Linked DNA regions of Canis lupus familiaris. The protein of the gene in region 1 interacts with the protein of each later gene in a biochemical or structural test. Links are inferred from orthologs where the notes say so. Each region holds a gene or a part of one and is shown in the gene's direction. Other genes may lie near its edges.

Region 1 (10,003 bases):
CTCTGTTCCTCTCAAACCCCTTATTTTTTAAAAAGATTGTATTTATTCATTTGAGAGAGAAAGAGCGAGTGAGCGTTAGTGGGGAGAGGGGTAAAGGGAGAAGGAGAAACAGACTCCCCAATAAGTGGGTAGCTGAACATGAGGCTCAATCCCAGGACCCCAAGATCAGGACCTTAGCTGAAGTCAGACACTTAACAGACAGCCACCCAGGCGCTCCTCTAAAATTCCCTTTACTTTTGGGCAGCCCCAGTAGTTTAGCGGTTTAGCGCCGCCTTCAGCCTGGGGCCAGATCCTGGAGACTAGGGATCCAGTCCCACGTCAGGCTCCCTGCATGGAGCCTGCTTCTCCCTCTCCTGTGTCTCTGCCTCTTTCCCTCCCTCTCTCTGTCTCATGAATAAATAAATAAAATCTTTTAAAAAATCCCTTAACTTTTCTGGATTCAGTAGTACCTGTTCCTTCCTTCTCCACCTTATTCAAGTTCCCAAGCCCTCTCTCTCAACTTCAGTTTCATCAAATTAAATGTGATAATTCAGGTAAGGCAATTACCATAATGCCTGACACAAAGAGGGTTCTTGATAAACACTGTTGGTACTGTTAATACTGAATGAACAGCATAATGTGTTTGGTCAAATAGTTCGACTTTGAACTCAGACAAACATTAAGTTTGAATCTTGATTTTGACATTTACTAGTTAATGGGCAAGTTGCTTACCGTCTCCAAGTCTCAATTTTCTAACCTTTAAAATGGAAAACAATAATATTACTACTTTACAGGGATTTAGTGAGGATTAAATGAAAGTATGTATGTAAATCCATGCAGAGAGTGTCTGTCATATGAATATTCAACATTAACCACCAGGATTTTTTAAAAAGGTTTTATTTATTTATTCATGAGAGACACACAGAGAGAGGCAGAGATACAGGCAGAGGGAGAAGCAGACTCTCTATGGGGAGCCCAATGCAGAACTCGATCCTGGGACTCTGGGATCACGCCCCGAGCCAAAGGCAGACACTCAACAGCTGAGCCACCAGGTGTCCCTAACCACAAGATTATTACTGTTAAATTACTATTGTAATATCCACTTATTACTTTTTCTGGAGAAATTCATCATCCCCCTTGTGAGAAACCAGTTTTAGTGTCCTCACTTCAATATATTTCCATTTCTTCACAACTTCTTATTCTTTACAACAAATATCTGAGTACCACACTATGTGCCGAGCACTGTTTTAGATGATGAGGAAGAAATCTCTCTCCTCCTCCCTAAAGTTGATTCCTCCATCTGTGGATCCTTATCCTTCCCAATCATTAGGGGATTTTTCTTTTTTAAAGATTTTATTTCTTTATTTGAGGGAGAGGGAGCACAAGTGGGGGGTGGGCAGAGAGAGAGAGAAAGAAAGAGAGAGAGGGAGGGAGAACAGGGACTTGATCCCAGTACTCTGAGATCATGACCTGAGCCAGAGGCAGATGCATCACCGACTGAGCCACCCAGGCACCCCTGGGGGATTTTTCTTGTAACTTTTCGGCTTCTCTCTTCTAGTATCTTAAATGTCTCCCTCTTCTCTGGCTCCTTACCCTTTGCTTTAAAATAGCTTCAAGGGGGGTCCCTGGGTGGCTCAGCGGTTTGGCGCCTGCCTTTGTCCCAGGGCATGATCCTGGAGTCCTGGAGTCCCGGAGTCCCGGGATCGAGTCCCACATCAGGCTCCTGGCATGGAGCCTGCTTTTCCCTCTGCCTCTCTCTCTCTCTCCGTCTTTTATGAATACATAAATGAATGAATGAATGAATGAATGAATGAATGAATAAATAAATAAATAAATAAAATAAATGACTTCAAGTTTTGTCAAGAATTTCTGTTTGACTCTTCTAATTAATTTAATTAAAATTGTATTTCACTCCTTTGTATTTCCAAGCCACTTCAGTACATGGGATCTTGTTTCCATTTCCTCACAATATAGTCCCTTCTCAATTCCCTGTCATCTTGTTTCCATCCTCACTACTTACTGAAACTACTTGCTTAGTGGTCTCCAGTGACTTCCTTGACACATCCAAAAAGACTCTTCATCCTCATTTTTCCATGCAGCAGTTGACACTGCTAACCCTCCCCTACATATTACTTCTTTCTTTTTCATTTTCATCAATTACAATTTCAAATTCAGACAGCTGCATAAAATAATATAACCAATATATATACCCACCACCCAGTTCTATCAAATCTTACAACATCAACTTTCAGATTGTTTAAAGAAATAAATATTATAGATATAGTTGATATACCCTGTCTGCCCCTCCCTAGTCTCAATCTACTCCCTCCCTCGAATTTGGTGATGATTATGCCCTTTCATGTTTTATATACTATTACTATTATATCTATGTAGCCATAAGCAACAGATAATATTTTCAGACTTTATATAAGTAGTCTACTGCACATGTTCTCCTTTTTTTGCTCAACATTATATTTTGAGATGTAACTCTGTTAATACATAGTTCAAATTATTCATTTTAGTTTCCAAATAGTATTTAACTTCATGAATACTGTGATTTATTTATTCATTCACCTGCTGATGGACATTTAATTTGCTTCCCTTTTTTGAAAGTAGTGCTATAATGAACATTCTTTTTTTAAAATTTGAGAGATAGTGTGTGTGTGTGTGTGTGTGTGTGTGCATGTACACAATTGGGGGGAGCGATCAGGGAGGGGCAGAGGGAGAAAGAATCCCAAGCAGACTCTGCACTGAGTGTGGAGCCTGATGTGGGGATCGATCCCACAACCCTGAGATCCTGACCCTGAGATCACAATTGAGCTGAAACCAAGGGCCTTTGCCCAACCTACTGATTCACCCAGGTGCCCCTGCAATGAACATTCTTTTACATGTCTTCTTGTGCATCAAGTTTAGAGTTTTGCCCGGGTCTATACCTAGAAATGGAATTTCTGGGTTGAAGCATATTACATATTCAACTTTATTAGGCAATGTCAAATTTCTCTTCATAGCAGTTCTAACAGCTTATGCTCCTTTTAGCAGCAGATCAGTTTCATCAGTTCTACATCCTCAACAACACTTGGTGTTATCTGAATTTTAAAATTTTGCCAAACCAATAGTTGTGAAATCACCACAACTATCTCATCCTTTTAGTTTTCAGTTTCTTCAAATAGTAATGAAGTGAAACATCCTTTCTTGTCTTTTTTTAAAGTTTTTATTTATTTAAGTAATCTTTACACCCACCATGGGGCTCACAGGGCTTGAACTCATGACTCCTGAGATCAAGAGTCACATACTCTTCAGATTGAGCCAGCCAGGTGCCCCCATCTTTTCATGTCTTTATTGGTCATTTGGGTTTCTTTGACTATGAACTGCTTATTCAAAATATTCACGTATTTTGTCAATTTTTAAACTAGATTTCTTCCTTTTTCTCACTAGTTTATAGGAGTTCTTATATATTCTGGACACTAATTCATTTGTTAATTCAATCAATATTTTTAATATTGATTAAATTGGATTTAACAAATCAATATACTTAGTTGCAAGAATGGTTGTACGTGCTGGGAATGCAGCTATGAACAAAACAGACAAAATTTCTGCCCTCATGGAATTTACATTCTAGTGGGGGAAGGTAAACAATAGACAAAATTAATAAGTAAAATAAATAAAACAATAGAGAGTAATAGATCCTATGGGAAAAAATGAACATGGAAGATGAATGAAGAGGCATGTTTTTATGGAAGTGGATAAGGAAATTGTTGAATTGCATTTTTTGGAATTGCAATTTTATTTTTATTTTATTTTATTTTTTAAAGATTTTATTTATTTATTCATGAGAGACACGGAAAGAGAGAAAGAGGCAGAGGCAGAGGCAGAGGCAGAGGGAGAAGCAGGCTCCATGCAGGGAGCCAGACATGGGACTTGATCCCAGGTCTCCAGGATCAGGCCCTGGGCTGAAGGCGGCACTAAAAGGTTAAGCCATCTGGGCTGCCCTGAATTGCAATTTTAAATAAAGTTGTCTAGGGAGACCTCACTGAGAAAGTGACATTTGAGCAAAGACCCAAAGGTGGAGAGAATACAGGTAAACAGCAAATGCAAAGGACCTGAAGCAAGAGTGTGCCTAGAAAGTTCTAGGAATAACAAGGAGCAGTGTGACTACGCAGAGTGAGTTGCCAAGAGTGGTGGGAGAGAATTCTGTAAGGTGATGACAGCTAGAAGTGTAGAACCTCATAAGTTATCCTTCATCAGTTAAATGCATCAAAAATATCTTCTCTCAATCTATGGCTTGTTTTTTAACTTTTTTGCATTGTCTTGAAGTACATGCATTTTGAAATTTAATGTAGTTAAATGTATCTATCAATTCCTTTATTGTTCCTACTGTCTGGTGTCTTAAGTAGTCATTCTTATTCCTTATTCCAAGCTCATAAACATATTCTTCTATTTTCTTCTGAAAGAAGTCTTGCTTTCTAGTCCACTGTAGATTCTCGTGCAAGTAAAAACACAATTGAAACATTACTATGAGAAGAATGTTCTTATGATTATCAACAGAGCAAAATGGTGAAAGGAGAGATCACAAGGGCTACCAGTAAAGTGATGGGGGTGCAAATGGAGAGAAAACAGGGAATCTGGAAGTAATTCTGAAGAAAATATTAATAACGTTTGTTGACCAATTAGATACAGATAAATTCGGAGAAAGGAAGAAAGCACATGGCTTCGAAGTTTCAAGCCTGAGTGGCTGTGGTAAATGATGAGTTAGTTTTGTCATTCAGGATTGTGTTCACAGTGGGATATGTTAAGCAAGGGGGCTGGGCCTGGGAAGTGTAGTTGGTCGTTGTCTGCTTAGAGAGGACCTGGGGGGGGGGGGCACAAAGGAAGAGCAAAGATCTGAGCTTTGGGGATTTTTCTATTTACTTGGTGGAAGGAAGAAGAAGGGGAAAACATCTGAGAGGTAGGATAACCAGTACGGTAGGTTATAACTTTAATGAGGACTTTTTTTTTTTTCCGTATGATGTGGGTCCTATTGACCCAAAACATTTGAGTTCTCTCATAGGTATGGCTGTGTTTTGTTTCTGTGGCAATCTTCGAAGCCCACAGAACAATTCTGGTGTCACAGGGTAGCATTTAAAACGCACTCCTCCTTGGACGTGGTCGAGACGCCCCCGGTCCGTCGGGTCTCTCCCTGCAGTTCCGCAGGTTGGCCGCAGGGGGCGAAATCTGCGGCGGCCTGGAAAACCCGCGCGGGCGCGAGGCGCCGCTCTCTCTCGGGTCGGGCTCTAGGCTCTCGGCTCCGCTCCCGGCTCCAGGCTCCCGTTGCTCTGCGCGGAGCTGTTCCCCCAAACGACGCGCAGCCGAGGACGGTGGGTGAGGACGCTGGAGGCAGAGTCGTCGGATCCGCCCGCAGCCCGCAGCCCCACCGAGCCCGGAGTCCGCAGGGATGGAGCCGCCGCTCTCGGTTGGAGCCCAGCCCCTTGCAGTATCCGCCTAAGGGAAGGGGGAGGGGAAGCTAGCAAGGTGGGGTGGTGGTGGTGGAGTGGGGGTCGGGGGGAAGTGCAGAACGTGGTGGAGTGATTAGGGGGCGGTCGGGCCCAGAGGACCAGCCGAGCGGGGGAAGGGGGCCAGCGCGGGAGGCGATGCCTTGGGCAGTGGGGAGGGCAGGCAGGGGGGTGGGAGCCTCCCTCTACCCCGCACCGCGCCACTTCTCCCTGGCCGCGCATCTGGAGGAGACCCTTGACTAGTGCCTGCATACTATCGAGGGTATGGAGATGAAGGGTACTCTCCGGGAGCCCTGCGCCCTGACGCTAGCCCAAAGGAACGGGCAATATGAGTAAGTAACCACCTGATTCCCACGGAGGAGGGGAGCCTGCCATTACCTCCCAACCCCAAACCGCGACAAGCCACCCATCCTCCTCCCCCTGAAGCCTTGTGGGCAACAGGTTCAGGCACAGGTGTGAAGTGCGAGTGCTGTAGCCTTGGGGTTTTTGTCCCCAACTTCCAAGTCGCCAGATCTCTCCTGGCAGTGTGGCTCAGTGGAAGGACTCAACAGGCGGGCGTTGAAGCAGGAAGCCTGGGTTTTTAGTTCCTGTCTCTGCAACTGACATGTGTTGTGTAACCTTGGGCAAGTCAGTAATGCTTTCGGGCCTTGGTGTCCTCATCAGTTAAATAAAAACATTAACTGCCTTTGACTTAACAGGCTTTGAAGTTTTAACTGGAAGAATAAGAAATGCAAAAGTGGTTTGCAAAAAGTAAAAGTATTATAGAAACCTTACAGAAGTGCCTTAACCCCATTCAACTGGTTCCTCCAGTCTCCCCACCCCCTTATTACACTTGCTTGAAGGCATTTATATTAATTCAGTAATGGTTTAGTGTAGGCCAGTAACTGCCTCACTTACTGACTTGACTGATAGAAAAAGTAATGAAATGTGTAGAAATATAAACAACCTTTGGCACTTTATCAGTGTGTGTTATCTTCCACTCTGCCTTGCATACAGAAGCTCAGTAAATACTGTTGACTGATTGAATAAAAGATTATTTTGAAAGGCTATCACTTTAGCTGCTGATCTCACTCCCTTTCCACTAATGCCTTATCCTGAAAGTATCCATGGTGACCACTTACATATCATAGACCCTATTCCTGTGTGCCCAAGCCACCTGCCTTGGTTGTTGATTGATTTCTCGACATCAGAGTTTAAAAATCGTTGTTCATTTATATCCCGTCTTCTCCCAACGTTGGATTCGGCCTAAAAGCAATTGTTCTCAGTCTCTGCTTTTAGATCATCCAGACTGAGTGTGTCTATGCTGTCTAATTAACACAGAAGAAATTCCTAACTAACTAACCTAGCCTGCCCTTTTCTGAGACTCTTGATCCGACTCTACCTGGACGCCAATTGGGCCTATGAAGTAGCTCTTCCCTAGGTCCTGTTCTGTCAGTTGTTAGCATGGTAAATTCATGTTGTTTTCCCCAGATTTCATCAAACCCTGGAAGACTGGTTTAATAGTAAATGCAACAGAAAAGTGAATTGAAAAGTGGAATACCAATGCCACTTCCAAAGGCTAGAATGAGATGGAGAGATGTGACCCTTGGATAAATCAGTAAATTTTTTGCACCTTGGTTTCCTCTTCTGTAAAAACAAAACGAGGAGTATTAAATAAAATTCTGTGGTTGAGAAGACCGCAGCCTAGGATGTGGTTCCTTGATTTGATAGGTTTAGAGCTCTAGTTAGCTATTACAGAAGTGAGCAGCTGGCATTGAGATAAATGCTTGGTTCTATCTGGCCTCCTGTACTTGGAGAACTTTTAAACTTGGAGTGGTAGCTCTCTTATTTGTGTCCTCTTCACAAAGAAATCAAAATCTTATGTTCCATTTCTGCTTAAGGCACGAGGGTATATCAACTACTAAGACTTAATGGCTTTGGTATCTGCCAGGTACTCTTCTAAGCACTTGCTTCTAAGCACTTCATTTAACTCTCCTGTGAGGGTTACTGTGAAATTATAATATTCTCATCATCATCCCCCTTTTCTAGATATAGGAATTGAGGCACAGAGAGATTAAGTCACTTGTTCACAGGAAGTAGCATACTTGAGATTCGAAGCCATGTAAAATTTCAGAATTACACTGAGAAGTTTCTTTTGAAATAATTTGTTGGGGACACCTAATACTGTCATACTATCTATAATCCTCAGATTCTTGTCTCATGGATACCTTCCCTGATTTGGGTTCTTCTCAGAACTTTTTTTACTTTTGGTCTTTTTATCCCAGAAATTGAAGCCTGTTATAATCTTTGGTTCTGTAGTTCCTGCTGTCAACCATTGGAGAAATTTGGTTGAGGGAATAAAATTATAATTAAAAATAAGGGTTTTTTTGTGATAGAGAGTCAAACAGTATTCATTTTTTCTAAGGAAAATGGATTTTGATGCCACCTGTTGTTTCATCTTTAACATTCCTTGAACAAAGTAAAGTATTTCTTATGGATAATGCTGTCCGCGTTCACAATTTGTTACTCTTTTCTGTTTAACAACTACCAAATTCTAACTTCTATTTTTTTTGCCATATACCTATTATTTTTCATCTTCCTGTTCTGAAAGTAATGATTACATTTAGGAAGAATTTTTATACTTATTTTTAGCCCTATTCTTGTTGCAATTTATTTGGTGACTAACACATAGCAGAAATTAGGGAATTGACTTAAATTCCAAGTTTATCTTTGTTTTGTGATGGATTTTGGGGAAGTTGCATTTTTAAATTGAGGCATAATTGACATATTAGTTTCAGGTGTACAACATAATGATTTAATATTTGTATATATTGTAAAGTGATCACAATAAATCTAGTTAACATCCATTACCACACAGTTACAATTTTTTTCTTATGGTAAGAATTTTAAAAATCTACTCTCTTAGCACCTTTCAAATATACAATACAGTGTTATTGACCGTTGTCACTATGCTGCATATTATAGCCCCATGATTTATTTATTTTATAATTGGAATTTTGCACCTTTTGACCTCTTTCATCCATTTAACCCATCCCCCCCTGACAACCACTGATCTGTTCTCTGTATCTGTGATTTCAGGGATTTTGTTTTTGTTCTTAGATTCTACATATAAGTGAGATCATATGGTATTTGTCTTTCACTGACACATTTCACTAAGAATAATGTCCTCAAGGTCCATCCATGTTGTCTGTTTCATGATGGCTTTTATTTTTATTTATTTTATTTTATTTATTTATTTTTTAAAGATTTTATACATTTATTCATGAGAGAGAGAGAGAGAGGCAGAGACACAGGCAGAGGGAGAAGGAGGCTCCATGCAGGAAGCTCGATGCAGGACTTGATCCCAGGACTCCAGGATCACGCCCTGAGCCAAAGGCAGACACTCAACTGCTGAGCCACCTAGGCATCCGTCATGATGGCTTTTAACAGTACAATCCAGTCGATGTTTTACTGCTAATGTCCAATACTGTATTTCTCATCTTCATTTCTTTGAGATTTATATTGTTTTGTGTTCTTTTTCTCCAAAGTAAGCTCTTCTTCCTTCACTCTTGCCTTGTCAGTCTTTATCTCGTTTCTGATATTCATCTGGGTTTATAGAACTTTTTGCTCAACTCATGAACTTTGTGGGCTGAAAGGAACCTGCCCAAGGGCTCCTGGGTGGTTCAGTTGGTTAAGCATCTAACTCTTGATTTCAGCTCAGGTCATGATTTCATGGGTCCTGAGATTGAGTTCCATGTCCAGCTCTGCCCTCAGCAGGGGAATCTGCTTGAGATTCTCTCTCTTTCTTTCCCTCTGCCCCTCCTCCAACTCATGTGCACATGTTCTCTCTAAAATAAATAAATAAATCTTTTAAAAAAGGAGCCTGCCCCATATTCTTCTAGTCACCTAAAAATATGAACTCATGCAAATTAGATAAGCAGAATCAGAGCAGAAGGACAGCATTAATATTTTTATTTCCCTTAGTTTGTCTAAGCAATTACTTTCTCCATGATATCTCCTTTAAAGTTAACACATTTGAAAAAATTCATTAAGCTAAAATTCATAAAGCTGAAAAAATTATTAAATAAATAATTCATAAAAATTCATTCATAAATATATATATTGTGAAATGATCACAATAAATCTAGTTAACATCCATCACCACACAGTTACAAATTTTTTCTTGTGGTAAGAATTTGTAAAATCTATTCTCTTAGCACCTTTCAAATATACAATACAGTGTTATTGACAGTAATCACCGTGCTTATTTATTTATTTTAATCACCCATGACTTATTTATTTTATAACTGGAAGTTTATAGACAACAAACTAGAAATAAAACCCTTCAAACAGTGACATTTTTTAATGTCAGATTGAACAAATTATGTTAAGAAATTTATCTCTTTATAGTTTAAACTGGCTCATTTATTCAACCAATATTTATCAAGCATCTATTAGCAGGAGGCAAAACAGTATAGTAGGGTCTTTGTTTTCAAGGAGCTCAAATCAGTGAGGGAAATAAGTATAACTGCAATGGAGGGTATAAATACTCTATT
Region 2 (10,002 bases), on another chromosome or scaffold:
TCATTCTAAAGTTGGTCTCTGAGGAGCAGATAGCTTATTCCAATAATGACCCATGCTTGTCTGCTCTGATCTGAGACCGTCTATTCAGCAGGAATAAGTGTGGGTAGAAGTCAGTCTTATTTCGAGAAGTCCTATCAGGAAGACCACTAGCCATCAATAACTGAGTAGTTGTTAACAAATATTGGGCAGAAGGGGGCCTTTCTGACAGCAAAGTAGAGATAAAGTAATTGGCCTAGTTTCATCTCCTTTAAACTTCAGGAATGGCAAACTGAAGATTTAGTTATGTAGGACTTTAATTCCTTCTTCAGGACCAAGTTAATAAAAGACCAAGAAGAAACTCCTGATTAAACTGGATATGGAGTATTTTGTAGGCAGGGCTGCACATTTTGGCTTTGTTGTAATTTCTGCTTTCTTGATTAACATCTCAGAGCTGAAACATTCCACATTCCCCAGCAGTGTGGGGGCCAACTCAAGTTTACAATGCTGACAAAATTACCCTGCTTCTAGCTTATCCAAATCCTCTGCCCCTCACTCCTATTTATTAAGCATCACACTACCCAAAGGTACACTAGCAAATTGTGCAATTGAATAAAACCCACTTTTCATTTAGATTCTTGCAACTGTATCATATGTAATAGTATCACTTTTTCTACATTTTGGTCAAATAAATTTTTACATAAACTATAATTTGTGTGAACTTTAGAATGTATTTGGGGGGGGGGGTGACGTGGAAGGTACTCTGTTCAATGAGTGTTAATGGGATGGGAGGGAAAGATAACTGTGCCAAGATTATTAACAAACGTTCCTTGCTTTATACAATGACTTCATATGGGGATTATGATCTCTACATTCAGGAGAGCACTTTGCCTCAGTAATTCAAAAGCCCCTATCCTTTGTTAGACCCAGTCATGCCTGAGCCAGGCTGTGAAGAATAACTAGGATTTTACTAGGATGAGACAGGAGCAGGGAAAATGGTCCCTGTTGAGTCAGGAAAGCACAAGGCCTGCCTGCATATATAAAGGAAAGAAGTAGGTAAGCTGGGTCCATACTGAAGAAAGCCTGAACTTAAAACTTTGGTCAGGAGGAGAGCTGTTAAAGACTAATCAACAAAGAAACACATTAGGAAAATTCACTTAGTCTATTTTCAAGGAGGACAAGAGTGGGAGCAGACCAGTGGGCAGTAAGGCCAGTTAGGGAGATGTCTCCATTAACCCCAGATGGTGCTTGCCGTGGAATGAAAAGGAAGAAGTGATCTGGAGGAAGTAATCTTAAGACAGCTGACCAGCTGGCAGGTGACCTGAAAAAGAAAAGTGTCAAAAGATGACTGCAGTTTCACTACCTGAATTGTTCTGCTATCTGCCTCAAGATCTGATCTTGGGGAAGTGGGGTAGGGAATCAAAAAGAGAAATGAAAGCCTTTAAAAAACTAATGTGGTATGCAAACCATTTTTTTTTTTGCCACCAAGTACAATTAAAAACATCTCCTTGATGTTGAGTATTAACATTTAGCTGCTGCTGTGAGCTTATTTTTTTTAATATTTTATTTATTTATTCATGAGAGACCTGAGAGAGAGAGAGGCAGAGACACAGGCAGGGGAGAGCCCAATGCAGGACTCGATCCTGGGACTCGGGGATCACACCCTGAGCCAAAGGCAGCAGCTCAACCACTGAGCCACCCAGGCGTCCCTGTGACCTTGTTTAGATGGTAGATGCGGAGAATGTCAATGACTAAAGTATAATTGCCTTCTCTAAGGGCCCTACCATTACTAGACAGAAGTTCCTTCTCCCCCCTCTTGCCCATCGCCTTGGGCTGCAACCTAATCTCAGGATACTACTGTTCCAGTCAATCAGGTGCCTCGCTACATAAAGAAGTGTTCTGGGTTTGTTAAACCGATCTCGGATCTCCCGGAGTTCCAGATCCCGTGAAGTGTATTGTGGAACGCAGGGAGAGCTTAGGAGCAGAGTGTGAAGACCTGATCCTGACAGACCCTGAGTGGGGGGCACTGACAGGTGCCTTAGGAGGAGTACACTGCGGAGGGAAATCTGGATCAGAGAACAGAATCATCAGGGAGGCGGGTGGAGAGAGGAGCAAGGTTCAACAACTACTTAGAACCAAGATGGGAGACGATGAAAGAGCAGGGTCAAGGATGACTTCGGCTTCACTCATAAGGCAATTCGGGCCAGGCCCGTTGGAGTAGAAGTTGCCATGTTCAGTTGCCAGACAGGTCGAAGTCCCTGGGCCAAATCCAAGAAAGCGGCTGGTGGATGGCTGGGGGATGGATTTCCTCAAAGAATCACCTGTACGGAGAGTGAACGAGCTGCCCCAGGGTGCCAGCAGACCTGGGACCACCGGCAACGCCTAAAGCACACGCGGGGACCCCGGGGACTGCGACACAATCCGAGGAGCAGCACCCAGAGGGGGCCAGGCGTGGGCGACGGGAGACACCCGCAAGGAGGGTGGGCGGCGGCTCCGCTGGAAGCTCCCCCCTCGGCCCCCCCCCCCCCCCGCCGCGCCCGGATCCAGATCCGAGTGTAGATGCCCGCACCCCCCGACGGCGCGGCCCACCTCCGACCCGCAGGTCATCTCGGGCTTCCCAAGCCTGCGCGTCTGAGCTCGGGCCCGGTTCCCCATTCGGGAGCCTGGGGAAATCACTGAAGCTCGGTTTTCTAACCCATCAACGGGCGGGAAGCCCAGTACCAAGCCGGCGGGTCGGAGTGGGGCCACCTGGTGTTGTTTTCCCAGTGCGGACCACTCGGGCAGGCCAACACCAAGCTCGGAGCCACGTCCCAGCATCCTCACGGGGCTGCATCCGCGGCGGGGCGGCCGGCGCTCGGGCTCTGGGCAGGCTCCGGTTAGGTCCGAGGGCCTCGCGGCTCGGGTGGCGGAGGCCCGGCAGCGCCAAGCGGTCCCCTGGCCAGCGCCGAGGCCCCGGAGGACGTCTCGCGGGGACCTCGCTTCGACCCCGGCTCTGCCTTCCCCTTCGCGCGCCGGGGCCCGACGCCGCAGCCGCCGCACAACGCGGCCACCCGCGCGGCCCCTTCCCGCGTTCTTCCCAGCGCCTACTGAGGCTGCGCAGGCGTGAGGGCGGGAGAGCCAGGGCCCGCCGCGCGCGCGCCCTCTGCTGGCGCCTAACGATCCCCCCGGCCCCGTACGCACGTCCCAAGCCCCGCCCCCGAGCCGCGGGCGCGCGGAGCCGTTGGCGACGTGCCCCGCCCTCCCCTCCCGCCGGGGGGCGGGGCCGCCCCGGAGCCGGGAGAGGTGGGGGGGGGGGGGAGAGGGAAAGAAGGCGGGGACCCGGGAGGCCACGCCCCCCGCCGGGCTGCATTTGAAGCCCCCGACTCTTCAGGGCTGGCCAATTGGAGCCCGCCCTGTCCCGAGCGCCGACCAATGAGCGGCGCGCTCGGGCCGCTTCCGGCACCGCGCCTCGCTCGCCCCTTCCCCAGCTCTCCCCGCGACGGGCGGGGCGCGGGAGCGGGCGGCGGCCGCGGTGACGCGCGGCGGGCTGGGAGCCAATAGGGGGCGGGCTCGGCGCTGATGGACGGGGCCCGCGGCCAGTGGCGAGGCGCTGGCCGCACTTCCCGTCGGGGAGAGAGTGTAATATGGCGAAGACCTACGATTACCTGTTCAAGCTGCTGCTGATCGGGGACTCGGGGGTGGGGAAGACCTGTGTCCTGTTCCGCTTCTCCGAGGACGCCTTCAACTCAACTTTCATCTCCACCATAGGTAGCGGGGCCGGGGAGCGGCGGAGGACGCCGGAGGCCCGGGCCGGGCGCGCCCCTGAAGGGCTGGGGTTGAGGGAGCGGCTGGGCCGGACGGATCCAGGGATCTGAGAGGGTCGAGGGGGCCGGAGGGGCGGAGAGCAGCCGCCTCCGCCGCCTTCCGGGGGTTACCGGGCAGCGGGGGGAGGCGGCGAACCAAGTGCCCATTTTGCAGATGGGGGGACTGAGGCCCCACCCCTCAGGCTGCTTGTCAGGAAGTATGTGTCTCGGGCTGGGGTCCCGGCTCCGGTCGTCTCGTTCTGTTCACACGGCAGCCTTCGAAGCTGTTCCTTTGGGGTCCCCGCCTTACAGAAGCGAAACAGGCTTGGGGAGTAGGCCATCGGAAGAGGCCTGTGACATCTGAACCTTATTAAGCATTTACTGTGTGCTAGCCGCTTTATGGGCATTATCACACTTTCCAGTCCTCTGTGTTAGGTGCTCTAAATGAGCCCGTCTCACATGAGGAATTTGAAGCTCAGGGAAACGGGGGACTCCCCCAAGGTCACGTCTGCAGGTGGCAGAGGTGGAATTTGAATCCATGTGGGTCTAACACGAAAGCTCAAGGCAGGATCCTGCCGGAGGGATGTGAGCGCTGGTCCCCAGGGCAAACACTGCTGGTCCATCTGAGAACCAGCACTCTCAACCAACTCTCTCCTGCTCTTTCCTCTGGAATGTTCAGGGGGTAAGCCCGGCTCCCTGACCCTGTTTCCCCTATGGGTGAATTTCTCCTAGAAGGAATGGTGAGAAGGAGTCTGGAGCCTTTCTCCGCCCAAACTTCCATCACTTGAGGGTGTCAAGGGTGAGTGACCACTGCCTGCCCTAGGACCTGTCACCCCCAAGGAGATGCCAGATAAAAACTTGAGTGACAAACCAAAATCAGCCGCTGCCACAGACAGCCCTGACTTCCCTATCTGGAGGCCCAGAACACCAGTTGTCACTTTGCAGAACAGCCTTTCCCACAGGGCCAGCCCACATTGTGGTTGAACAGAATTGGCTTGTTGCTTCTCAGTTCTGATATCCACAAAAGTGGAGCTGACTTCTCCCGACGCCACAAAAACAGCCATTGCCCATGTGAAAACATTTGACCTGGAAGTAACGCCGATCAAATCGCGTGGCCTGTGAGCTCCACAGCCTTGCTGCAGAGTGGTCACCAAGCTCAGGAGTTGATTCTGAATGGGGAAAACCTGGGCACCAGGCTTTGCTTTACCCCCGTGTAACTTGAATCCAATCACCTTATCTCTATGAACCCCGTGATGAGCTGCTCATTCCATCCTTGCCCTCCTCCAGGAGCTGCACGTTACAGTTATGTTCCTGATGCAGAGTGGAGAGAATCGCACTGGAAATCGTCATGCCTGCTTGCCAGCTGTTGTTTGCCCTTGAACCAGCACTTAGCCTCTCTGAGTCCTATTCCTTCAGTTTAGGACTAATGCTTTCTGCCTTGGCCAGTGCCCTGGATGGTTGAGGATCAGAACTATATAGTGAATAAGAGGTGGTCATCATGGCCAGAGGCTGCCTGGAGGAAGCAGAATGTCTCCTGCAGTGACACCATCCCCTCCCTAGACACAGATGCTTCTGATTCCTCCCCTTCCACCACCCCAAGGTCAAACTTTGGGACAACCCTTGCATCCCATCCCCACCGGTCAGGAAGAGATGTTAACTCCTGGCAGGCTGTGGCTCGTCCTCAACCCAGACCTCAGTTTCCCAGCCTCAGGAACTTGCTGTTCAGTACAGGCACTAGTGAGATCAATTCAGAGATTGGGCTTTTTTGTTCGGTTTCTAATTCTCAACCAGAAAGCCCAGTCTAGCACTTTAGGGCTCTGAGAAGACTGGCCTCCACTTCCAGACAAAGATATGACTTGGGCCAGGTCACCTGGGGACACAGGTCGCACTTGAGCCCGGAATCCCTCCCTCCTCCCACCTTGGCATTCTCATTACATTTATAGTTTTCCTGCAGGTCTCTGTCTTCTAAGAAAATTTAATTCATCCTGGCCTTGAAGTAATGGCCTCATAATTCTTAGCCTTGTAAAGTTTACACTTCCTAATTATATTTGGTGTGTTCATGAAATGCAGGAAGAGATGAGGACAGAGTGATGCTGTGGAACCTTGCCAGTAGAACGGTGCTTCTTGATTTTATATGGCCCTGTGCATCTGTGACAGGAGGTGGGGAGTGTTTTAGGAAGGAATAGCACTGGGCCCCTGAGTCCTGAGACACAAACTGACTGGATAAAGGTGATTCTCTGTTGGTGCTGAGTGTACCTCTGGGCTTGCTTTATAGATCAGGGATTAAGTGGCTGTTCGTTTCCTGCCCACGTTTCGTTTTGCCAAAGCCTATTCTCCTAAGCTCCATCAATCATTTGTGGTGTAAACTTGGCCCCGTGGCTCCTGGAATTGCTTCTTCACAGCCTGGCTCAGCTTCCAACGTCTCCTCAGGGTCCCATTCACTCATTCCTTCAGGGAGACAGATGGCACAGCGTCAAAGTGCTTCGTAAACCACGCAGCACCATGTAGACCCCGTTCCTCTTAGTTCTATTGTCCTGCCATCTTTCCCCAATGCCTGCTGGCTGCCAGCAGGGCTGCACATCTGAATGACTGCATGCCAGCCGGTCTGCATCTGCATAACTTGGATGAATCAGGGAAACAAATGTAACAAGGCCTGTAGTCAAGGTGTGTGTGCAAGGACTGGGTGATCAGCTTCTAGCAAATACGTTGTTGGCCTCTGCCATGCTAAGTTATTGGAGACACAGCCATGAGTTAGACATCTGAGTCCCTGCCCTCGTGGAGCTTATGTTCCAGTGGACACATTTCAAGTGCAGGCTGATATTCCCTGTGGTCGCCTGGACAGTCCCTGCGGTGGGGCAGGGATGGAATTAGCATCCCCATCATCAGTTCTGAGGGATCAAGCCAGGCTTCAGCCTCAAGGCTTCACAGGCAGAGATTTGGGCTATTTGCCCTCCATACAGGCCATTCAGATGGGCAAGTTTTATTCCCAGATCCATGGAACAAATAAACAAATGTACACTGTCAGGAATAAGCCCATGAAGAAGAAAAAAAGCGAGAGGAGAGAGTAAATATGGTCAGGAAGGCTCCCTGGAGGAGGTGAAGGAAACAACATCCCAAGAATGGGAAGACCAAGCATGAGATCCCTGAGGCCAGGTTGTGCTTGGGATTTTGGGAAAAGTCACATAAGCCCTGAGTGCGGAGAGGTGGCAGGACCTTAGAGCACACACACAACTGTTCTCATTTTATTTTGGGGCCAGTGGGCTGGTAGGAAGCCAGTGGAAGTTTTGTTTTGTTTTGTTTATTTGTTTAGCAGTATTGAGAGACAGTTTGTGAACCATGCAGTTCACCCATTTAAAGCATACAAGTCAGTGGCTTTTGATATATTCACATGTTTGAATAACATCATCACAGGCAATTCTGGAACGTTTTCATTACAACAAAAAGGAACCCCAAGCCCCTTAGTCAACCCCCTGAATCTTCAGTCCCCCTGCAACCCCTGGCGACGGATAATCTCCTTGCTGTTTGGATTTGCCTGTTCTGGAGAATTCATAAGAATGAAGTCATACACTATGTGACCTTTCATATGGCTTCTCTCACTCAGCGTGATGTTCTCAAGGTTCGTCAATGTGGCAGTGTGTGTCAGGGCTTCTTTCTTGGTCATGGCTGACTAGTAGTGTGGATGGACCACATTTGGGTCATCCATCCATCCGTTGGCAGACACACTGGAAGATTTGGAACAGAGGTTGGCTTTGTGACAGGGTTGAATGTGGTTTGGAAAGCTGGGGAGGGGATTGAGAGGATGGAAGCCTGGAGAGCAATTGAAGAAGACCAGGTCACCCTGGGCATGGGGAAAGGGGACTTGGGGAAGCAGAGTCAGGAAAGCTTGGAAGGTGATTTTTCAGGAAGTCTTAAAGGAGAGAGTTTGTCAGGCTGACAGGTGGATGGGGTGGGGACCACCCACAGAGAAGGACCAACGCGTGGGAAAGCCAGAGGCTGAGGGGGCGACATTGTGGGGTGTCCTGGGGGCTCCATGCCCTGTGTGCCTGCAGGGCCTGGTGCTGGGTGCCGGAAAGTGTGGGGTTCTGGCTTGCAAAGCGTTCTGTGGAGGCCTACTCCTGAGAGGTGGCTGGGTGGAGAGAGGGGCTAGAACAAGGCTTTGGCACCTGACCTACCCGGGTTTGCCTGCTAGCTGTGCCACCTGTGGCTTCACTCTGGACAGCTCTGTCTGCCCTCTGAACCTCAGCTTCCCCTGCCGCAAGAGGGAAAAGCTCTCCAGGTGCCTCCAGATTTGTTGTGGGAGATTCGGAGAGCCCACATGCCTGGTGCCAGGCCAGGTGCCCCATAAGCCGTGGATGCTATTACCTGTACATGCTGGCAGTGCCCTCCTCAGATGCAGCGTGGGAAACAGGCTGACAGTGATGTGTCTTTTTTTTTTTCCTTTTTTTTCTTCCAGGAATTGACTTTAAAATTAGGACCATAGAGCTCGATGGCAAGAGAATTAAGCTACAGATATGGTAAGAGTCATTGCCACCATCACCCCCTTAACCCGTGAGTGCTTTGAACCAGCAGCTCTGGTGCCTCTTCCCCTTCTCTGTGACCATGGCCTCTTATCTCTTGGTGCCCAGCTGTACACGTCAGGCTTTCTTCAGAAACCCCAGAACATGTGTCCTGCTGGTTACTGAGGCCTGGAGTCTGCATCAGCACCTTCTGGGGACAGAGCCACTGGTCCTGGTTAGCTCAACATGCTGATGTGGGCACAGCTGGATCTAGTCTTCCGGGAGGCCTGCTTCCCTTGAACTTGCAGCACTCCCTCTGCCCAGGCAGTGGTGAGGGCTGTGGAACAGTAAGATTCCCCAGCCCAGCGTTTCCTCTTGAGCCTATCAGCCCGCTAAAGAAGGCCAGATGTCGCTTCCTCTTTTCTGTCCTGGGGAAGCCCAGGCCTTACTTCTCTAACAGAGCTGAAACCCCAGAACCAAAAATAAACCACGGCCAGGCCCACTGGTAAGACCCATTTCTAATCTGCTTACCTGGAGCTGACTTCTTGTGACACATAAAATTAGAGGCATTGTAAGTCCCTGTCACTGAGGCTGACCGTGGTTGATAGCCCACGGCGCCAGGGAAGCCTAGCTGAGCTGGTCAGATGGAGGGGTGTCCCACCCTGTAGCCACATCACTTACAGGGAAGTATGTGCCCTGAGCAAAGTTAAAGAGAAGTCCTATTTGAGAGGGTGGTGTAGTCTCCCAGTCTGAGCAAGCACCTATTGGCAGGGGGGTGGGGAGGAGGCGGTGAGACGGACCACAGAGCCACCTTCCCTGCAGCCTGTCTCCCTCACTGCAGCCTCAGAGAGCGCAAGCATCACCCTGCTTGCTGAGTGCACCTCCTTGGCTTTCATGGTGTTCACCTCTGAGTCAAAATCTGAATGAGGCCTAAAGGCTTGTCAGTTAAGTTGTAAGCCCTAGAAGTACCTCTGCCTGCAACACGTGGCTCCCAGCAGCCTCGGGTGCCTGGAGTCCAAAGTGACACTAGCAGCAGCCAGAAGTTTCACTTTCTTCTCCTCCTCCCTTCCTTCTTGTGCTCTCAGCAATCTTGATGGGGTTAGTGACTTTCATAAAGCTTTTCTAGACTAGAGCCATGGTTGAGAATAAAATGGCTATTCATAACCACTAATGTCACCTGCTGTTGGCATCAGAAAGTCAGCAGAGCCCCAAGGGAGGCACTTCTGTGCAGTCCAGACATGCAGTCCTTCCCAGGGCAGGATGGGGGTGCAGGGTCGTGAAAGGAACCCTGGGTCCAGAGACAAAAGCTTTGGGTCTTTACCTGGCTCTGCCACCAATCAGTAAAGTCCCCTTTACCCCAAACACTGACTACCCTCCTTGCTAGATGCTGGGATGGGCATGGGGTGTCTTACCAAGGTATCACCTCGGCACCGATGAGGGACTTTCTCCCTGGCCTCAACCCCAACAACAAGTGCAAAAGTACTTCTGGGGCCCTTGTGAGATTGCCCAGCTCAGCCCTTCAGCCGTGTAACCAGCCCTTCCTATACCCATGTGGCCCTGGATTTTCAGATATCTGACCTTGGATCTTTGGTGACCTAGAAACTCTAGGGAGAATCCCCAGGAAACAGAGGAATCATGGGGGGACATGACTTTATGCCCAATAGGACAGATCCTTAGCACTTCCAAGTCACAGTTTGTTTCTCTGTAAGAACAGAGAATGAGGCTGCTGCCCCACAGCAGGACAGTGA
Region 3 (9,693 bases), on another chromosome or scaffold:
AATTTAGTGATATAGGTCTGGAACTAATAAATCCCCAGATTATGCCAAAAAATATCAGGAGAATGGAGGAGGAGGCATTGTGTTGACAGTGTAGATGGTAGTTACAGGTATGCCAGTCCTTTCTCTTCCACCTACCTCCATGCAGTTTTTCAAGAATATCAGTATTTTTCTTAAATTGTTTTAAAGTTTTAAAATTTCAAATTTACAGTGTGTAAAGCAATTTAAGAAATGTGTATTAAACTTACTATTACAATAAACTTATTAAGAGTGTAGAAAAATCTTTGAATCTGTGATTTTAATCTAAAGGTCTTACATAAGCATATATGTGTATCAAGCTCTAAAGCACAGATCTTTGAAGTATCACAAGCCACTATTAACTGTGTATATGCAATATGTCATGTCATGTTTCCAGGTGTTTTCTGTATTATGAAAATATTAGGGGAGAACTGATCAGCTTATTACAGATATTTTCTTCTTTCAGCTGCTTTTCTAACCCAAACTGTGTGTCTTGATGATACAACAGTAAAGTTTGAAATATGGGATACAGCTGGTCAAGAACGATACCATAGCTTAGCACCAATGTACTACAGAGGAGCACAAGCAGCCATAGTTGTATATGATATCACAAATGAGGTAAGTAGAAATGTATTCTACATTGTAACTAGTTTGAATATACATTTTTGATACTCAATTTTGATTAAAGATTTTTTAAGACCCTTTTTTTTTGGTAGCCAAGTATGACATTTCTGCCAAAGTTTTTATGAGTTTAGAAGAGCTGATTAAAAAAAGATTAAAGTGTCTCAAATAATACAATAGTCCTAAGATTTTCTTTCCAAGAGTCACATTGAAGAGTCTTTAAAGCCTTGTCTTACAAAGACACTTCCTAACCATTTTTTGAGCCTGTGCCAAATAGCTGTTTCTTTGTTTCCCAAGGAGTCCTTTGCCAGAGCCAAAAACTGGGTTAAAGAACTTCAGAGGCAAGCCAGTCCTAACATTGTAATAGCTTTATCAGGAAACAAGGCTGATCTTGCAAATAAAAGAGCTGTCGATTTCCAGGTATGTTTGAAGGCACATATGTATGGTAAATTTTTCTTCTGTATCTACACTTGAATTAGTTACAATTTTAAAGCCATGTGAAAGAATAGAAAACAAATTTTTGTGCAAATGTGGATCTACTATATGTAATATGTTTCTTATGATAAATCTGAATTTTTAAATGTCTTTACATAATTGTGTATATAAATTGATTCAAAGATTTTGTTGAGCGGGGTGCCTGGGCAGCTCAGTCAGTTAAGCATCTGACTCTTGGTTTTGGCTCAGGTCATGATCTCAGACGCAGAGACTGCTTGATACTCTTTCTCTCCCTCCCTCCTACCCACCTCTCTTAAAAAAAAAAAAAAAAAAAAAAAAGATTTTGTTGACCTAAATAATTATAAAAGAAGTAATTGTTGACAAATAGTGCAGAAATATATAAAGCAAAAGGTGATTGCCTCCTACCCTAATCCCTCCACCCCATACATATTTTAGTATCCCTTTTTATTTATCTGCCAGTATTTATATCAGCACATATATACATAACCACATATACATATACAGCTTACACATATGTGGTTCTTAAATAGGCCTTCAAAAATAAAGGCTCAAAAAACCCACTTTATATGTTATTTAATATAGCTAACCAAGAATGTTCCCTGCTACAAAATAAAGTACAATTACTTAAAAACAAATGTCTCTAATTTAAACTTTCCCTTTTCTCTTCCTCTTCAACCTCTCAGAGAAGTTTGTTGTGGCATATATATATATATATATATATATATATATATATATATATACACACATACACACACACACACATATATATATATACGTACACACACACACATATATAATGAATGATAGGGTAATTCTCTTTGATGATGGCTATGATGGAATACATAGACTGAGAAAGGGAACTAATATTTCTTGCACCTTTAGGTAGTAAGTTGAGCAAGTTGCACCTGTGATTTTATTTAATTCTAGTTATTGTCATGTGGGGTATAATATCTATTCTCTAAGATGGTTATCTCCCCAGCATAGAGTGGGAAGTAAGATTAAGTTATAAGTTACAGTCAAAAGTGGCCTTCTCACATAAGAGTTCAAAGGAACCTCATTTTTTTCATTAAATGGGAAAGATGATTGGTTGCTCTTCACACAACTGTGAGGATCAAAGGCAATAATACATGCAAACTGTAAATCATGACAAAAATGTAGACTAGTAATATAATTTTTAAAGGAATGATTTATGACATACTAAGAATTAAAATATAGCCATTAGATATTTGGATTCCCTTTGACTTCATTGAAAGTAATAAGCATAAATAAAATTTGCCATTGAGATCAAAGAGAATTTTATGTTTAGAATAGACAGTTTTCCAACCTCTGGCACTTACTATTTGAAATCAAATTTAGTGTGAGCCTAGGTGAATCAGAATGGGGATACTGCAGGAAGTTAAGGCAAAAGAACTGAAAAGGTATCCTACAAAAGATCTCTTACCTCTTTTACCTTAATTATTATATATTTGCTAATTCTAGGTAATCAAGTTGGAGTAGTAATGAGGAAGCCTCTTATTCTATAACAAAAATAAGTCAGCTATAGTATGTGCAAAGGATATATATCATATTTTTGTTTTATAAACAGGAAGCACAGTCCTATGCAGATGACAACAGTTTATTATTCATGGAGACATCAGCTAAAACATCGATGAATGTAAATGAAATATTCATGGCAATAGGTAAGTTTTTTAATTTTTTTCCAAGCAGTAGATATAGGCAATAATACTTACACTGTAGCATATTTGGTTTGACTGTCTTCTTTTTAAAAATTCTTACTCTGGGCAACCCCGGTGGCCCAGCAGCTTGGCGCCACCTTTGGCCCAGGCTGTGATCCTGGGGACCTGGGATCAAGACCCACGTCGGGCTCCCTGCATGGAGCCTGCTTCTCCCTCTGCCTGTATCTCTGCCTCTCTCTCTGTGTCTTTCATGAATAAATAAATAAAATCTTTAAAAAAAATACTTACTTTTTTGGTAAATAATTTTGAGAAGTATTTTTAAAAGTAATCATTTTTTTAATGATTCTACTACTATTCTAGATCCTTTCCACCAAGAATTACTTTGTTAGTAATGTTAAATTTGAAAGACTGTTTATTATCTATTAAGTTGTAATACTTTTCAGTTTAAGTCTCTTCTAGGTAAATTGAAAGCCTGGACTTTGAGCTAATAGTTCAAGCAGATGGATTTTCTAAATATTTCAATGAGAAATTTGGATAAATAAGTTTTTGTATTAGATTATCTTTTTTACATGAAAGGAAGATAAGCTCAGAACAATATTTATCAGCATAACATAAAGACATAAAGAGATTACTTTCTCACTGATCAGTAACTATTTTCATCTCTATTTTGCCATGAATAAACACTATTTTTGTTTCTCACATTAGTTTTAAATCACTGATTATTGACAAATATAATGCAAATATTGTAACAAAATTTCAAATTATTGAGGCACAGAAAGACGGAAAATAAAATAACATGCTTCATATTACCTCTGATCATTTAACCTATGCAGTGCTCTTACCTTTTCCCTAAGGTAATTTTATGTGTTAAGATTGTGATTCCACGTTTGTTGATTGTAAGTAATGAAATTGGAACACTAATAAGGAAGCTTCCTATTTTCTGTAACAAAAATAAAAGTATTTCTCTTGATCCTAACCTCCTTTCAACAATCTTAAGGTGAGGATTCTGTGAGAATTGGCTACTTGGGTGGCTTTTGCATTTTACTGTGTCTGCACTATTTATGCACCAAGCACTCTTCTCATTCCAAAATATGTTTATTATATGGCAATGATTATTAACTAGGGTGCCCACAAACTTATCCCCAAATAAGAAATAGTCCTTTTATTGAAGTCATACAAATTAACCAATTAACAGCTGATTCAGAGGCTAAAGAAAATATAGTAAATGCTACAAGTACTGTTAAAATATCTTTCACTAGATGAGAGAGTTTTAATGGTAGCTCATTTAGGCTCATTAGGAAAAAAAATTGCCTGTTGTGTAAAATATTTTACTGAAAAACTCAGGCTTAAAGTTTATTAGGGAAATACTTGTGGAGGATTATATGACAATGTGCTCTTTTTATAAATAGAACACAAAATTACATTCAGAACCACATCTGAAAAGCCAGTAACAGAAATCAAGGGAATAATAGCCTCAAATCAGGCTGAATGAACTTTAAACTTTTCTGATAGTACTAAGATACCACCAGATGGGCTTGCTTGCTTATTATTTTTTTAAGTAATCTGCATCTAATGTGGTGCTTGAATATATGACACGGAGATCAAGAGTCACACTGTACTGATTGAGCCAGCCAGGCACCCGCATATGGACTTTATCCTTTTATTTAGATGTGCTGGTAATATATTTTTCCAATCAGAAGATAGCCTACATATTAGAACTTTCAGTTATTTTTCTGAAATTACAATGTTTCTTTCCTTGAAAGAAATACCAAGCATTAAATTGAATTGTGGCCTTTCTAGTTGTTTACCAGATAGGTAACTTAGATCACACAGTACAGTACACTCATTATTTTTACTCTTGATGATTTCCTGTAGAGAATATAGTCATTTAAAAAAAAAAAAAAAAAAAAAAAAAAAAAAAAAGAGAATATAGTCATTTAGTAGGAGAAAGTCTACAATAATTTTATAATCTGCTTTCAATTTGATAAGATTTTGCTTACATGACTTCTTTCATTGCACATCTTCATTAACTTCATTTGGATTTTTAGCCTCTTAAGATCCTAATTCAGGGGCAGATGGTAAGCTCCAATTGCCCATATACCAAACAAGTAGTACTAGCTTTACTTTGGTAATATTAAATAAGATATGAGATAGAGATAGAGGGCTGCTTCTGAGACTTCTAAGCTGTATTTTAGTTTATTTTCACACAGTGTAAGTTTACCAAATAGAAGCTTAAAAGTTCCTTATTCTAGTTTATTTCCTTCAACCTCGTAATTTCACTCAGATCTAATTACAGAAGACCCATTGAAAAGAGAAATGATCTCTTAGTCCAAAATATAAATTATAATAAAGTTTATAAATGTTAGCCTATTCTTTGTCCCTACAAACCTTTGTTTGAAAATGTATTTGACTGGAAATTTGCTACTTCATTACCATTTACCCTTCCATCCTTAGTGCCATTTCCAGAGAAGTAGTCGAAGGTGAAGGCTTTTCTTCCCAAACTTCCATTGCCTAGCCCAGCATCTAGGATTCTAAAGATGATTAATGTTCGTGTGGAATATTACAAAAGATCCAAAGTGCAACTAGACATTTAGATATTGAAGGTGGAGCATGTCCAACTTTTGTGTAACCTGAGCCAATAGTAAGGTAAAGCTAGAATTCACCCATAATAGTCTTCTCCCCAAGGTTGATATAGTGTATCTAGTACACTTACAGTCAGTATTCTCAGAGATAGTTAATATTTAGTGAATCCAGCACATGAAGGATTTTTAAGATTCAAAGCAGACTGTATCTAACAGGTATGTTTTTAAATCAGTGGAATCCAGGCTCCAGCACTCTGTATTAGCTATATAAAGCTTAGTAGAACTAAAACCATAACTGCTAGTTGAGGGCTTTGTCCAAATGTGACAAGCCAAGATCATCCAGCTCAGGACTGGAAATCATTTTTTGAAGTAGAGACTTCAGAATCAAGTCTTCCTTAGACGAGGCAGAGCTACTAGTGAATCGGATTAGGGTTTTTAATCATCCATAAATGAGGAGCATGGTAGATGTTTGAAGAGTTAAGTATGTGTAAGCCAGAAGAAAATAGATGTGATCTGTCAGAATTTGGGGTGATAATTAGGTAGCATGATAGAGGACCAGTACTGCTGGGGTGACAGTGATGGCATTTGTTGTTTATATCCTGACTTGTTCCAGAAAGTATATGTGGCAGTCCGGAGATCATTGATACAAGCTAAGATTCTTTATAAATAATTGGCTGGCCATCATCTTTATTAACTTAGATTTTCTTTTTCTTTTTTTTTTTATTAACTTAGATTTTCTTTAAACAATAGAAGTATTAAAGATTATGAAATAAAAGTACTACTATTCTGGTATTGCTAACTGAATATATGTAAAAAATTAAATATAGTCAACTTAAGTTTTAATTATATATAACTGTTCCCTATCTTACCCTTCCCTTATCCCACTAACCTCACTGAGGACTGACGAATGAAGAGTATTTGGTATTATCTAGTAGATATTTAGTAAGCAATTGGAAAAGAATGAACATACAGCTGTGTGATAGTTTGGGTCAACCTAGCTGGAAAAAAAAAGATTAAGCAGATGAAAGTAATTCTAATATGAATCCACTAATTGTGTTTATTTTGATAATTTATCTCTCAGCTAAAAAGTTGCCAAAGAACGAACCACAGAATCCAGGAGCAAATTCTGCCAGAGGAAGAGGAGTAGACCTTACTGAACCCACGCAGCCAACCAGGAGTCAGTGTTGTAGTAACTAAACCTCCAGTTTGAACTTCCTGGAATATTCTTCTGCTTCCTAAATGTTAATGACAGTGGAATTGGAGCATTTAACCAGCCCAGTATGACTTCCAAAAAGAAGAGACTTACGATAGAGTCAAGTTTCTAATACAGAATTATTTTAAGTGTTTTGAACTTAATTTTTAATAACATGCATGTGACCCTCTGACTAATATTTCAGAAGTAGAAGGGGGGAATGAGAGCTGTGTGTGTACGCTTGTTTCCTTGGACGGTTAGGGGAATCATTTCTCATCACCAGGGATAGAGACAAATGATGTAAACCCACAGTTAACCAGCCACTTCTATGTAAAAGATTTGGAACTTATTAATTTGGGCTTTTCAAAAGCATTCTTTTTTTAGAAGGAAGTTCTAAAGATATTTATGCTTAGCTACAGTATTCAGGAAACTGGTAATTTCTCTTAGTATGCATATTTAAAATGTACATTCCACATTTTAACAGATTAGCCACAAGAAAACAGTCCCACATCTTCAGGGAGAAAAACACAAACATTAGTGGCATCTAAATTATAGCCAGTCTTGGTATTTTTAGTGGGTTAAAAAAGGTCAAACGTAACCTCATCTTGTTTTAGGAATATGAAAATTGAATGCATCTTGATAGTGTTCCCTTCAAACATGTGAGCTCTTCAACAGAAATGAAACAAACCAGGTGTCTGTGATTTCTGTTTAATCACTGCTGGCCATTACATAGGTTTTGTTGTTTGGGGGCAGGGAGGGGGCCTTTGTTCCCTTTGGACATAATATAGTCAATGCACTAACAATTATGTACATTCAAACTTGATTATTTTAAATTCAATTTTCAGCTGTACTGTAAATAGAGTACTGCACTGTAGTCTCCATATATGTTTATTACTTTCCTGTAATATTTAAGAGTTGCTTAAAAGTATACAAAATGTACAGTTACTAAAACAGCTAATTTTTCCTTTTCTCTCCCTTTGAAAGGAAGGGGCTTCAGTTGTTCCTACATGGCTAGAACCATAATAAACAATGTACCAGTAATTTGTAACATAACTATTGCAGTATGTTAGTAACAGTCTTGCAGCCTTGTTTTCCAGAGTTCATTTTATTTTGATCAGTTCAGTATATTGCACTAATTGTTTTAGGTATTTTCATTATATGAAATCTACCATGTGTCAGAGATGATTTAATCTATTTAAGTGTTGAACTGCTAGCAGAACTTGTACATTTACCGTAATTCAGAATTAGTAAGGAAAACAGTTCACCAGTGTTTAGTTTTATATTGAGGTGCTCAGGTTGGAATAAAGTGGTATAAAAAGCAAGTACTGGTTTTTCTCTTTCTTGGCATGGAACAGTGAACATATATATATAAATAGTATCATGTAACCTAAAATAATGCTTTTATAGTTTCCTTAATATGTTCTTTAAAATTTGTGTGGTATTGATGTATTATCCTAATATCTGGTTCTTTGAAGAACTGTCTTTACATTTTTGTACTCTTAGATAATCAGAAATTTATCTTTTTATGTCAGAAACTGATACTCACTTCCCTTGAGAAGTATTACCATGACTGTAATGTTGTCTCTGGATCCAGCCACTAAAGCCGCACTTACAAGTTCATGGCTAATATACTTGGCTGCACCTTCATAGAAATTTTTAATGCATGATTCTTTTTCACTTGAATTTTTTGACACATCTACACTGGTTGGTCCATTTCTTTCTTTCTCACTGTATAGATGATGATTAGTCATTTCTGATGGAAATGTTTCTGCATTTTTAGGGTTAGAATATTTTGAATCAAACAAATTTTCTTTTGTATTTATAGTTGGCACACATTCTGTAGATTCAGATTTATACTGAAACAATATATGGATATTACTTTCTGATTTAGTATTGCTTAGTTCATTGATTAGGAAAGGCTCTTTGGATGGTAAAGATTGATTTTGTGTGATACAATAGTAGGTGTCTTTATATACTTGAAACATTGTCATTGCCAGTGCAGTGACTTCCTTTGTATCCAAAACTTCCCAGAGTCCGTTAGTAGCTAAGATAAGGAATTGGCATAAGTCATCGATAGGGACAGAGATAGTTTGAGGTGCTGGGATAATGGATTTTTTCAGTTTGAGATTTCCATGAAATCCAAGTCCTCGTGTGGTTTTTATTTGCCCTTCTAGGAGCCCATATGGTTCATTTGAACTAATTATTGCTCCATTCTTAAGTAATCTTCTTCTTTCAGTTATGTTTCTCGTAGTGTGTTCTTTGGTTATGCAAAAGCCTTTTCCATTTCTGCATAAGACTGCTTGTACATTACCTAGAAGATTATTAGAAAAAATTGATCTTAGAGATTTAGTGACCAATTGTATCAAAGTACGCTTTTAACTTTATTCTGTTTCAGTGCATAAATAGGCCATTTTAAAATATTTTTTACATATGTGAAATATTAATATTGGGCGATTTATGGTCATTAAGATTTGACTGAGAGGTGAGTTTGTCCCTCATTTTTAAGTAACTTAGTGTTCAAAATACTGCACTTAATATTAAAATAACTTAAAACTACAAATAATAAAAAATAACCATCAATTTTTTATGAAACAGCTGAATATTTATACATCCAAGAGTTGAACTTTTTTATGACCAACATATATTCCATAGGGCAGACATTTTTTAAATGTTTAAATAAATGCCTTTTTAATTAAAAACAAGCATTGATTTTTTTTTTTTAAGTGGAGTTTGATAGTTTTGTAACTGGTAAAAGTTAAAACCTGAACATATATATAGGTGTGGGTGATGAAAAAAATTAGAATGCCACTGTTAATGTCAGTCTTAATAGTTTCATGTTGTGTGGTTAAAAAGAAATTAAATCGATTAGCCATGTAAAGAAAAATCCATATGTATTATTAATGTGTTAAATGGATAATAGCTAGCCAATATTAAATTAAACCCTTTGATTGAAAACTGAAATCTTAAAAGTTGATTGTAATTTGTTCATGGTTCATATGAACCTGTGATGTGTGCTTCGTTGAAATCTTAAGAAAATCTAAACAGTATTCTGAACAGATTGAGGGATAGTTGTAATACCAAAACTTTCTTTGGTTTATTAAAAAACGATTCACAGAATTTTTTAGTTTATAAGCAATAAGTTTTTCTTGAT

The links.
Region 2: the proteins of OCRL (region 1) and RAB8A form a complex in vitro, tested with the Homo sapiens proteins (2 studies listed by BioGRID and IntAct, with this or other methods). The link is inferred for Canis lupus familiaris from reciprocal best matches to the Homo sapiens genes OCRL and RAB8A.
Region 3: the proteins of OCRL (region 1) and RAB5A form a complex in vitro, tested with the Homo sapiens proteins (2 studies listed by BioGRID and IntAct, with this or other methods). The link is inferred for Canis lupus familiaris from reciprocal best matches to the Homo sapiens genes OCRL and RAB5A.

What each region holds. Positions count from the first base shown.
Region 1 is NC_049260.1:101,650,325-101,660,327, forward strand, and holds the start of OCRL (inositol polyphosphate 5-phosphatase OCRL), read left to right. Parts: upstream 1-5,212; 5' UTR 5,213-5,410; coding exon 5,411-5,449; intron 5,450-5,717; coding exon 5,718-5,800; intron 5,801-10,003. UniProt on the Homo sapiens protein: Catalyzes the hydrolysis of the 5-position phosphate of phosphatidylinositol 4,5-bisphosphate (PtdIns(4,5)P2) and phosphatidylinositol-3,4,5-bisphosphate (PtdIns(3,4,5)P3), with the greatest catalytic activity towards PtdIns(4,5)P2.
Region 2 is NC_049241.1:46,756,418-46,766,419, reverse strand, and holds the start of RAB8A (ras-related protein Rab-8A), read left to right. Parts: upstream 1-3,590; 5' UTR 3,591-3,599; coding exon 3,600-3,723; intron 3,724-8,211; coding exon 8,212-8,272; intron 8,273-10,002. UniProt on the Homo sapiens protein: The small GTPases Rab are key regulators of intracellular membrane trafficking, from the formation of transport vesicles to their fusion with membranes.
Region 3 is NC_049244.1:23,812,381-23,822,073, reverse strand, and holds the end of RAB5A (ras-related protein Rab-5A), read left to right. Parts: intron 1-481; coding exon 482-633; intron 634-933; coding exon 934-1,056; intron 1,057-2,677; coding exon 2,678-2,771; intron 2,772-6,431; coding exon 6,432-6,547; 3' UTR 6,548-6,574; downstream 6,575-9,693. Other genes in the region: PP2D1 (protein phosphatase 2C-like domain-containing protein 1), read right to left, coding at 8,066-8,853. UniProt on the Homo sapiens protein: The small GTPases Rab are key regulators of intracellular membrane trafficking, from the formation of transport vesicles to their fusion with membranes.